3 linked regions of the Canis lupus familiaris genome follow. The protein of the gene in region 3 purifies or fractionates together with the protein of the main gene of each other region. This does not show direct contact. Links are inferred from orthologs where the notes say so. Each region holds a gene or a part of one and is shown on either strand. Other genes may lie near its edges. The genes, in order: VDAC1, cytochrome b5 and BCAP31.

Region 1 (4,074 bases), on a different chromosome or scaffold from region 3:
ATCAAAGCTTATGGAATGACTGGAGAGAGAGAAGGGTCATTCCCTCCAAAGAAACACTGTTATACCTGACCTGGGTTTATTAGCTCATAATTGCAAGGGAGGACCTGATTGGCTGCTCTTGGGTCAGGTGCCCCCCCTCCAGTCCGAACCTGGCAAGAAAGAAGGAAGGTGGGGCTGGAGGTGGCAGAGCCAAGCCTGGCATAACCTGCTGCCTGGTTCAGCTCTTCCTTTGGGGCTGTGGTGGGGAGCAGTCAACACTAGGGTCTGAGGATGCCATGTTGCACCAGATTTCTTCAGTGTTTTTGGAGTGCTTGCTTCCCATTTTAAACTTGCCCCAACCCTCTGAAATTGCAGCTGAGCAGTTAGCCCAGTTGCCCAGAGTCACACAGCCAGTGAGTCAAAGAACACTCGTGTGATTCATCTGAAAGTGACACCTGGGGGAGCCCCAGAAGGGACCCAGAGCAGGTGGGGTATGGGGAACTCTTCCCACAATCAGGGTCCTGAAAGGTGGTTTGGCAAGGAGGTGCTGGAGAGGAGGGGAACACTTAGGACCTTTGGTCCAAGCATCACACCTGGGCTTTACTGACCCAGGGTGAGATATCTGCTCCTAGCTCCTGTGACATTTCTGGAGCCCCATCTTCCCCTAGAGCTATCTGGCTCTGCCCTGCCTCCTTGAGGTCCTGTCCTCCCAAAGGCGGCTTTCCTGCGCTCATGGGTGACTCAGTGGCTTTCCTTGCCTCACCCTCTCCAGGAGTGTGCCGGGGCCTTTGTGTGTGGAGCGGGAATGACCAGGCTGGGAAGCTCTGAGCCCTCCAGTTAGCCATGGAGCAGCTCGTGGGCCTGGGGAGAGTTCCAGCATGAGCGCTCCACGCTCCAGGACCTCAGGGGGTTTAGCGTGCTTAGACCAGAGACCCCTACAGAGCCCGGTGCACTTTGCACCGCCCCCGCCCCCCCCTTCCCAACCCCATAAGCTGGTGCCCTTCTTCTCGGCATCCGGGCCCCATCGGAACACCAGTCAGTTGCCTTTTCCTCCTCCCGCTGCCCTCGGCCCAGCAGCCTGTCCTCTGGCCTCTGCCGCCGCCCCAGCCGCCTGCTCCTTTAATCGGCGCCACAGCTGGTGGTGAGCGAGCGTCGGGGTCCCGGAGCCCCTGCCTCCTCCACGGGCCCCGAGGCGCGGAGAACGAACGTTTGTTGGCGGAGGCCAAAGCCGCGCAGCCCCTCCGACCGGCCACGAGGCTCTGCGCAATTCTGGGTGACGGAGGCCGCCGGCTCGGGCGGGGCGGGGGCTCCCCGGGGGCCCGGGCTGGCTCCCGCCTCCCGTCTGCGCTCTCGGGCTCCCAGCGGGGGACGTTCTGCCGAAGCGCGGTTTGCTGTTTTCACTTCGCAAAAGCTCCGAAAATGGCCACTGGCAGTCTCGCTCCCGGGGAAAGTGCCTGCTACTCTGGAGCGCAAAAGCTCGGCGCACCCGGGTTGCTCGGCGCTTGGCCCTCGGCCGCCGCGGCCGGCACGCGTGTCCCCGCGCACGCACCCCTCGCGCGCCGCCTCGTCCCGCGCCGGGGCCCTCGCCGCCCCCCTCCGCGCGCCCGCACTCGCCCGGGGCACCGCGTCGGGGCAGGCGCCGAGGGCGCGCGGAGGGGGCGGCGGGCGCGGGCGCGGGCGCGGGCGCGGGGACCGGGCCCCGGCCTGGGCGGTGTCCGGGGCGGGCCCAGGGGCGGGGCTCGCGTGCCCGGGTGCGCAGGGTCGGGGCGGGTCCGCGCCGCCGCCGTCCGCGCCGCCCCGCCCCGCCCTCGGCCCGGCCGTGCGCTCGGTTCCTCGCGCAGCAGCCTCCGCGGTAGGTGCCGCCGAGCCCGCCGCCGAGCCCGCCGCCGCCCGCGAGGTAGGCACCTCGGCCGGGGACCCGCGCCCCGCAGGCGCCCGGGGGGGCGGGCCGGGCCGCGGGAGCTGAGCGGGAGGCGGTGGAGGGAGGAGCCGCGCGGACGGGGGGCCGAGGGCCGGGCCGGGCCGGGCCGGGCGGCGCGGGGGAGCGGAGCGGGGCGGGAGCGGGGCGGGAGCGGGGCGGGAGCGGGGCGCCCCGCGAGGGCCTGGGCGGGCAGCGGCGGGCGCAGCAGGCCTCGGCGGGCGGCCCGGGCGGGGAGCGGGCGGCCGGACGCCCCGGGGCGCCTGCGGCTGGGGCTCGAGCCTGCGGGGACCGCGGGGACCGCGGGCGGAAGGGCACGGGCCGCGCGTGAGGGCCCGGCCGGCTGCAGGTCTCGGTGACCTTTGCCGGCGGCGCCCTCTGGACCTGGGTCCCGCCCTCGCGGCCCGGCGGGGGACCGCCCGCCACCCACGCTCGCCGGGCTCGGCCCACGGACCGGCGCGGGCCATGCGGTGGCCGCGGGGATGAGCCGCTGTGATGACCGAGGCCCAGCCCGGCCCCGGCCCCGGCCCCGGCCCCCGCACCGGCCCCCGGCCCCCGGCCCCGCACGCCCTGCCCGGCCCGTGGGTGCACGCCCAGGGACGCTGGCGCCCGGCCTTGTCCGCGGGTCCTAGGCCTCTAGGGCCCGGGCGGGGGGCTAGGCCTTGGGAAGGGAGGCCCGGCGGGAGCGGGATGTGGCCTCCTTGGCCTCTGGAGCGCCTCCCGGTTTGTTTGCTCGTTCATTCACGGAGCGCGGCGGCGCCTTCACGAAACTGGCTCGGAGCCCTTGGATTTCCGGACTTGCAATCCCAGTGACTTGTCCAAGGTCACACTCAGCAGGCCTGAGTGCTCTCATCTGTAGAATAGGAGCAGTTACAGCTCTCCCTCGTTGGGTTTTTGGGAAGAATAAAATGAGTTGGTCAACACGAAGCCTTCAGGGGAAAGCTGGACAGCCTTGAGGCTTTTTGGGAGGATTTAGCCCATCCTCTGCAGACCATTTTACTCCACGTGGTGTTCTGGAAAGGGTTCAATAAACAGCCAGCTGCTGTTATTTTAAACATTATTACTAAGCACTTGTATACTGGGCACTGAGTAATTTTCAGGATAATTCATGAAAAATCCTTATAGAAGTTTATAGACAGACAAGGTCAGGCTGAAGCAGGAAGTTGCCTTTGGGTGCAGAGCTGAGGGAAGCCTAGCCTTGTTTGACCCATTCCCTTGACCAGCCTCACCTCTCTGGAGGAGATAGAGAATGGATCCCTCCTTTTCTGCATTCACTGTTGGCAAGGCCAGGGCAGACTGCCCAGGGCTTGCCTTGTTTCTCCAGCCCAGCTCTGGACTGAGTTCTACAGGGTTAGGCTTAAGCCTTATGCAGCTTTGTTTTCAGCGCCTGGGGTGGTGCCACTTGACCCACATTAGGTACTTGAGAAGGGTCTGTGGGGGCAAATGCAATCTTGCTTTTTATCCAAGAAGCAACTCACCCTTACTGAGAGAAGGATAGTTTTTACGATGGCAGCATGTGGCTTAGAGTAGGTGCTCATTAAGTATTTGTGAAATTATTGAATGGGCATATGTAGTGGATGCAGGCCCAGACCAGAGTTTCTTGATCTTGGACATCCTAAGGGACACACACTCATTCACTTCCAGCAAATACCCTTGCTTAGGAGAGAGTCACAGATATTTAAAGACTCGCAGTTGAATGTACAGCCCTGGAGCACTGAGATGCAGATCTGTTTCCTTTTTTTTTTTTTTTTTTAAGATTTTTAAATTTTATTTATTCATAGAGACAGAGAGAGAGGCAGAGACACAGGCAGAGGGAGAAGCGGGCTCCCTGCAGGGAGCCCGATGTGGGATTCGATCCTGGGTCTCCAGGATCACGACCCAGGCTGTAGGCGGTGCTAAACCACTGCGCCACCGGGGCTGCCCGCAGATCTGTTTCCTAATTTGAAATCTGCTTTAAACCTATTACCTTCGTTATGTGACTTTTTCACATCCTGTGGGAAACTTGTAGAACTGGTGTTTCTGGGCCTGCAGGGTGGTGGTGGTGGGGTGACCCCAGTGAGTCGGGATTCTCCTAAGGTTTTGGGCCTGGTGCTTTTCCTCTTTCTGATGAGTGGATTGGTAAAATGCTTGACCCTGGAGATTGTCCAGAGTAAAATTCTTGACCGTGGGGAGGGGGT
Region 2 (4,353 bases), on a different chromosome or scaffold from region 3:
AAGAAGGTATGAGATAAACAGCATTGGCCAAACAAAGTAATGCAAATAAGAGGGATCCAGAAGAATGACACCTGGCAGAGTGTCCTACAGAAGCTGATGGGATGTGTGTTTAAGATGCAGGAAGCCATAGGCAGGGATCCTAGGAGGGGGTATCACCCTGGAAATGCCCAGCATCCTGCCAGTGGGTCCAAAAACTTCAAAATGTCAGTCACCTTGCTCTTCTACCTTAATCAAGATCCCACTCTGTGCACCTGGGTTGTCCTTTCCATCCCGCCACTGGGGACTTCAGGTGCTCTTTACAGAGCTGAGGCCTGAGGCCTCACACTGCCCTCCAGAGTCTGATCCCAACTGAGTTAGATGCAGCAGACCCAAGCACCGCACTCTCTCCTGTCCTATACCTGCTTCTTCCAATGGAAGGTTTTGGGAACAGAAATCATGTGTCTTCCTCTTGGGTTGTAGTCTACTGAGGGAGACATACCCAATGGAGTACATAAGATACGGAACTTACTGATCAAAAGAAAGGGCATGACTCCTAGAAGGCTGAATACACAGCCTTCTGTGCCCCAAACTCAAATCACAGGAGGCTACCACAGGGAGCATCTCACCAAGTACCAATTAGAAAAGGAAACAGAACTACTATAAACTTTTTACTTATTTCACTATAGTTTTAGTTATCTCACTACGTTATCAAACATTAGTGACAAACTCATTTCACCTATTATCTAACAGATTCTCCTGAAGCTACTTTCATACAGAATACTGAAAACAATACAATAAAGGAATTGGTTGTCAGCTAATTTATCCAACAGCTTGTTCACATTTCTTACAATTTTACTCACAAAAATTCTGTGCAATTCCCTCTTTCCTGCCTCATAAGAATGAAAAGTGGTTTAAAATTTAGCAATTTTCTCTTTATTATCTCCTTCTGAGAAATTTGCCCTTAAAAGTTATGCAAAATACATTTTTAGGACAGTGATTCTCTACTAGGAGTGATTTTTGGCCACTTGGCAATATCTGGAGACATTCTGGCTGTCACAATTGGGAAGTGAGTGGTGACATCTGGTGGGGAAAAGGCCAGGCAAGCTGCCTGTACAACACAATGTACAAAACAAAACCCACAAAGAAAGGAAAAAGAAAAAATAGTTCACAAAAATATCCTTTTATTTTTTTCATAAATGCTGTTCTTTTTTACAGATAGAAACAAAGAAAGCACACGCTGAGTCTTAAAGTTCTAGAATTACACATACGGAGAGAGAGGGAGAAGGAACTGGTTGAACGTAGACCTTTGGCATCAACTAGCCCTGATATTACCAGGCAGGGTTGCTAACTCCACCCTCTCTAATGCCGGTGGCTCAGAAGGGACAGATCAGGTGTGCCTCCTTACTATAAACCATTCCTAAATCAGAACACTATTTTATCTTCTGGCACACCACCAAATGACAACTTAGGAGTAAAATATCTCATTTAACATCAGCTTCAACTTTTAAAAAAAGAGTTAAAAAAATCAATCAATAAATTCTCTACAAAAGTCCTTGATGTACATTTTTATTCAGCTAAGACAGGCCTCTATTTTCATTTCTCCTTCAACTATGTAAAAAAAATTCCCATCACTAAACATTCTTATTTGTCTGGGAGGTGGGTAAGTGCTACATTCAGATTTCTCATTCACACTCAGTGATAAAACAAATCCAGAGGTAGCGAAGAAAAGCCCCTTAGGATGTGCTGCAAAAATTATATCCTAATGCAAAGAATCTTATCAAGGAATGTGTTCCTTTAAGTGAAGCAAAGTGGTTTTACAACTCCCAAAGGTAGGGTCCAGCGCCGCCCGGCAGCCTCAGGACCTATATTCCGCCTTCCTCGGAGCTTCACACCCGCGGCGGCGCTGATTTCCCGGCCTCCTGAGTCCGCGCTGTAAAGTCCTCACTGGATGCTGTTAACAATCACGGCGCTGCCTTCCAGACAGGGCGCGCGTCGAAGTTGGGGTGGGCCTGTGGACCACACCCCGACCTCTGAATTCAGGGTTTTCTCAGGTAGGATCCCCCCCATTCAGAGGGTGGTCTCCCCCGCAGTAACGGAAGTGGGCCTATCCCCGGCTTCCAGGGAGCCCCCTTATGCAAATTCCGAAAGGGATCTTTCAAAATCCTTCCGCAGCTCGGGACGCGGCTGTGCTTCCCACCAACCCCCGGTGCCGCCGTCCTGCACGCCCGGAGGTGCGGGCCCGTCGCGGGCGGCTACCAGGCTCGCCCAGTCGCCCCCGCTCCCGAGCGTGCAGCACAGCGCGCAAAGCTGGGTGCGTGCACCGGCCGGTGTGCGTGCAGGGGCGCCCCGGGGCCGGAGGCGCACGTACACACACGCCCAGGAACGCTCTCGGGCACAGAGCTGGGTGCAGGGGCGCTCCTAGGACTGGAGGCGCACCTACGCACACACCAGGAAGGCTCTCGGGGGCAGAGCCGGGGGCGCACGCACCGGGAAGCACATCCCACCCTGCGCGCACGTCAGCCCCACCGCGCTGTGAACGACAGACAGCTCACGTTTCTCCAACTCACCTCCTCCAAAAACTTGGTCAAATCGTACACCTTGTGGTGCAGGATCAACCAGGTGCTCTTGCTGTGGTTGTGCTTCTGGATCTCTTCCAGGGTGTAGTACTTGACGGTCTGGTCCGACTGCTCGGCCATTTCGGAAAGCGGCGGGCCTCAGGCCGTGCAGACAGCAGCCGAGCCGGGCGGAGCTGAGCGCGTCTCAGCGAGCTCGACCCGGGACATTCCCCGCGCCCCAGCCCCGAGCGGACAGCAGGGCGGCCCGCGCCACGGAGGGGGCGGTGGCTCACGGCCCCCGGTGACTGGACAGAACCCGTGTCAGTCAGGGGGCCCGCCCTCGGCCGACAGCCTCCGCCAATCTCGGCGCGCCCCCGCCCGGCGCGCGGGTGCCGACTGGCTGCAAGAAGTGCCCTTCAGGGGCGGGGCGGGAGCGCGGAGGGCGAGGCGAGCCGGGGGAGGGGGCGGGGGCGGGGCTTCCCCCGCGTCTGCGCAGAAGGCTGGGGCGGCGGAGTGGCCGGCCGAGGAGGCTACTTCGCGGTGATTTGGCAGTCAGGTCAGACTCGCCAGCCCGGAATGTCACTGCGTAAGTTACTGTGCCACGAGTCTGTTAATATCAAACTGTTAACGTGACGGGACAGCCCTGCTTCAGAGAAACAGTGTGCCTTCAGGGAAAAGGCCCAGGGAAGGTACTGGTTCTGTACAAAGCAGAAGCCTAAGGACTCCTAACGCTCTGCGGACACTGCCCGGCGAATACTGTCTCGTCTCCGCAGTGTGATGTTGACATAAATCCTAAAGACCAACAGCACTTGGGCTCCGAACAGCAACTGCTCAGCGAGCACTCAGGAAGACTTGCAAATGTTTGAGGAAAAAAGAGGGAAATCCCAGCACATTATCCAGTCACCTGTTAAGGCCCTTTTCAGCAATGGTAGTGAATGCCAGAAGGACCTACACAACAGGGTACAGGGAAGGCCATCCTAGAGACTCCACACAGCTCCCCCACATCAGGAGCCTCCGTAAAGGTTCGTTCCCCCCACCTGACCTCCTCCATAGGAATGCATGCCCATGGGGAGGAAAGATTTTCCCAAGCATTCCAACAGCCCTTACATATGATTGGATACACTGCTTTTCAAATACCGAAACAAACAAACAAAAAAAAACAAAAACAAAACAAAACAAAAGAACAAATACGGAAACAGCCTTGCATCTCTAAGTACAGCCCACCTGTTTATTGCTAAATTATATTTTGTTAGACTTTTATGGGGAATACTTGTGTGCAGTTTTCTTTCATGCATGGTATTTGCTGGCTTCATAGAATGAGTTGGAAAGTATTCCCTTTTTTCTATTTTTCTGGAAGAGATTGTATAGAATTGGTTTTATTCTCTAGAAGTAGAACTGGTAGACTTCTCCAGTGAAACCATATGGGCTTGCACATTTCTTTTTCAGGTTTTAAACCGTGAAATTTAATTTCCATGACACTATCAAATTACTGGTTTCACATCGGCTGAGTCGCGGTGCTATATACTTTTGGAGGAATTTATCCATTTCATCTAAATTGTCAAATCTATGTGTGATGTCATTCATATTACTCCTTTATTATCCTTTTGATGTTTGCAGGGTTTATAATGATATCCTCAGTTTAATTCCTGATACTAATAATTTGTGACTTCTCTCATTTTTTTGTTGTCAGCCTTGCTGGAGGTTTCTCAGTTTTACTGATCTTTTCAAAAAGCCAACTTTCCAACTCTTTGATTTTCTCTTTTTTTTTTTTTCAATTTCATTAATTTCTGTGTAATTTTTGTATAAGTTCCTTCTGTGT
Region 3 (2,867 bases):
GACCACAGCAGAAGCAGGCTCTCCAAGCAGGTACGCACGTCCAACATGTTCCCAAGGTTGCAGGTAGCAGAGGGGGCACCCTCCCCACCACCTAGCTCTATCCTGGGCCAGTCATAGGTCACTGTCAAGGGCAAGTCTCCTGTCTTAGTAGGCGTGAGTCAGAGGTCATCCTGCAAACCTTCAGGAGGAAGTGGGGCAGGGAGTGACTGGTGGCACTCTGCCATGTTCTATCTGTCCTAAAATGTGATGAACAGGACTCAGAGGAGGCAGGCAAATCTGCCACCCGGAAGCCCCAGCAGTTTACTGAGTCTCCCAAGATTCCGTGGACCCAGTGGCCAACCCAACAGGTCAGACACACCCCAAGTGGTCATAAAATAGGGCCTGCCTGGGGAGCAGAAGGCAAAGGGACAGGGAGAGCAAGTATGAGCCTGGGCCCAACCTAGGATGAGGGGGTCTTTAGAGATTAGTAAATTGAAAGAAAATAACCTGAAGGCCTCCAGGACCCAACATTGGGGGTCTCTATCAGAACTCCCCGCCACTCCCTTCCTGGTCCCTCCAGTGATGGGAGAAAGACGCGGCTTCCTGGTGGCCTCAGTTACACGCACGAATCATAGTCACATAACAACGAACTTTATTGCCCCAGGAAAACTCTACTCTGCCTGCACCGTCTACCCTCCTGCAGGACCAGAGACAAGGGGCCCTGGAACCCCAAACAACACGCAACACAAAAGAGGCACAACCCAGTGGGAAGCAATGCCTGCCTCATGCCTGGCCGGCTGGGATGGCAGCAAATTCATCCTGCGCAGGCAGAAACTGGGTCCCCTGGGGTATGCCGGGAGAGCGTGGAACTGCAAGCTGTGCAAGGGGACAGGAAGCAGAGGGGGCGAACTGAGGTACCGGGGAGGCCGGGCTGCAGGCAGCAGCGGGCACAGCCCAGGTGGCAGGTGGGGAGGAGCAGCCTCACTCCTCCTTCTTGTCCGTGGGGCCATCCACCGCTGCCTGGAAGGGACAGAAACCACAAGGCAACGGGTCGACAGGGTGCACCCCTCCCCTTCACCCCCTAGCCCCTTCACCCCAAAGGCCCAGCTTGCTGGCTTCTCCCCAGGTAACAGGTACCAGGTGAGCAAGGGACCCCACCTGCAGCAACGCCTAAAGGCCTGCCCAGGTGATTGTGGACCCTCTCTAGCAAAGGCTGTGACCCTAATGCCAACCAGAGGGGTGTAGCTGGGCGCCTCTGCTGTCATGCTTCTCTTTAAGCCACAGGACCCCACACCAACCGCCGTCTTGGGCCCGTGGCAGACCCGGCATTCAAGTCCCTCCCAAGTCCCAGCTCAGGCCCTGCACAATTCTGCACATCTTTTATGGGTCCTGCTGGTGATCCCACCCTACATTGAGGCCAAGCAGTCCTCCTCTGGGGCCTGGGCCCTATCTCTTCAGCCACTGTGGTGGCCAAATTTAGGCCAAGTGACAAGGCAAATTGTTAGAACTTAGGGGCATTTACATGGCCCTCAGGCCCAATTCTCAGGCCACCTGAGCTTCCAGATTCAGCCAATCTGAGGACTCTTGACAGGTCCTAGGAGGGGGGTGGGGCAGGTAGGCCGCCCCAGCCCTGCATCACCCCCACAGCCCACATGCAGAAGAGGCAAGCTGCCAGTCGCAGAGTGTCCCTGCAATGGACCTGGACCAGTCAGGAGCGCCACACCACAGACCAGGTACACGTGTGAGGGAAGGTGCTCTTCTCAGAAACACTGATGCCAGGCATGAGGGCCCACCGCACTACCAAGGCCACTTTAGCAAGTGGCTGCCATCTGCCAAGCCACACCCCTCCTGCTAGAGAAAGAGTTCCAGCTGCTGAGCCCAAACTGGCACTGCTTGGCAGGCTCTTCTCTAGACCCAGAGTCAGCAGCAATGGAGGAAGAAAGGGGGAACGGGGGAAAGAAAAAAGCAGCCAGCCCCACCACCAGGGCCTCTTGAAGGCTCTGTCGAGGGAGGCCAGGCTGGGGATGAGCCCGCTCAGTGCTGCTCAGGGTGCGGGGGGCAGATCCGACCCGGCAGAGCAGAGCACACATGCCACTGACCTGTAACTTTGCGTGCTCCTCCAACAGACGGTCATACTCCTTGGTAAGGCCCTCAGACTGCTTCCGCATGGCCACGGCCTCGCGTTCAGCTTTCTCTAGTTCTGGAGATGATGCAGATAAGGAGAAAAAGAAAACACAAAGATAGGGATTAGTTAGGAAGAAAAAATCCAGCTGCTGGAGACACCAGAGACAGGTCTGAATGTGTCCCCACTGAGGCTGTCTAGGAGGGTGCTCCTCTCCAGAAAAGTTCCCCTGCCAGCTGTAGGGCGAGCCCCTGAAGCAGGGGAGGGCTGGCCAGCACAGATGGGGGAAGCGGGAAAACACCAAGGACCCCCTGGCCCATTTGATGGAGGGACTCCAAGTGGCCCTAGGCATGGGTGACTTCGGGGAGGCTGTGGGCCTGGAACCAACAGTCTGAGAACATTGAGGTGACAGCAGGAGATAGGGAGCAGAATGCTGAGAGCAAAAAGCGTGTTGGGAGGGGCTTTCAGGAAGGGAACAGATGAACTCTTCAGTAACACTGCCAGCCGTTCTGGGGTAGCTTCCCGAGTTTTCCCCGTCCCTGCCCCAAGGACACTGGTGACACTGCCACATGCGGAGAGCACTGTTCCCTGGGCCTATTGCTGGCCAACATGCTCCAGAGCTAGTCTCGGAGCCCCTGGGACACCCCGGGCCTCCAGACAGAGACTGCACCACTGAGCCCCAGCAGCTAGATAAGCAGGGGGCCATTTGTATGTTCTCACTCAGCTCCTGAGCCCGAGTGCACATCTGTTATTAATACTTTGGCAC

The links.
Region 1: the proteins of BCAP31 (region 3) and VDAC1 purify together in Homo sapiens (affinity purification with western blotting; 3 studies listed by BioGRID, with this or other methods). This does not show direct contact. The link is inferred for Canis lupus familiaris from reciprocal best matches to the Homo sapiens genes BCAP31 and VDAC1.
Region 2: the proteins of BCAP31 (region 3) and cytochrome b5 purify together in Homo sapiens (co-immunoprecipitation; 4 studies listed by BioGRID and IntAct, with this or other methods). This does not show direct contact. The link is inferred for Canis lupus familiaris from reciprocal best matches to the Homo sapiens genes BCAP31 and CYB5A.

The regions. Positions count from the first base shown.
Region 1 is NC_049232.1:22,230,469-22,234,542, reverse strand, and holds the start of VDAC1 (voltage-dependent anion-selective channel protein 1), read left to right. Parts: upstream 1-1,231; 5' UTR 1,232-1,252; intron 1,253-1,776; exon of another isoform or gene 1,777-1,876; intron 1,877-4,074. UniProt on the Homo sapiens protein: Non-selective voltage-gated ion channel that mediates the transport of anions and cations through the mitochondrion outer membrane and plasma membrane.
Region 2 is NC_049222.1:5,043,398-5,047,750, reverse strand, and holds the start of cytochrome b5, read right to left. Parts: upstream 2,805-4,353; 5' UTR 2,676-2,804; coding exon 2,547-2,675; intron 1-2,546.
Region 3 is NC_049260.1:122,702,881-122,705,747, forward strand, and holds the end of BCAP31 (B-cell receptor-associated protein 31), read right to left. Parts: intron 2,180-2,867; coding exon 2,079-2,179; intron 1,000-2,078; coding exon 961-999; 3' UTR 609-960; downstream 1-608. UniProt on the Homo sapiens protein: Functions as a chaperone protein. Is one of the most abundant endoplasmic reticulum (ER) proteins.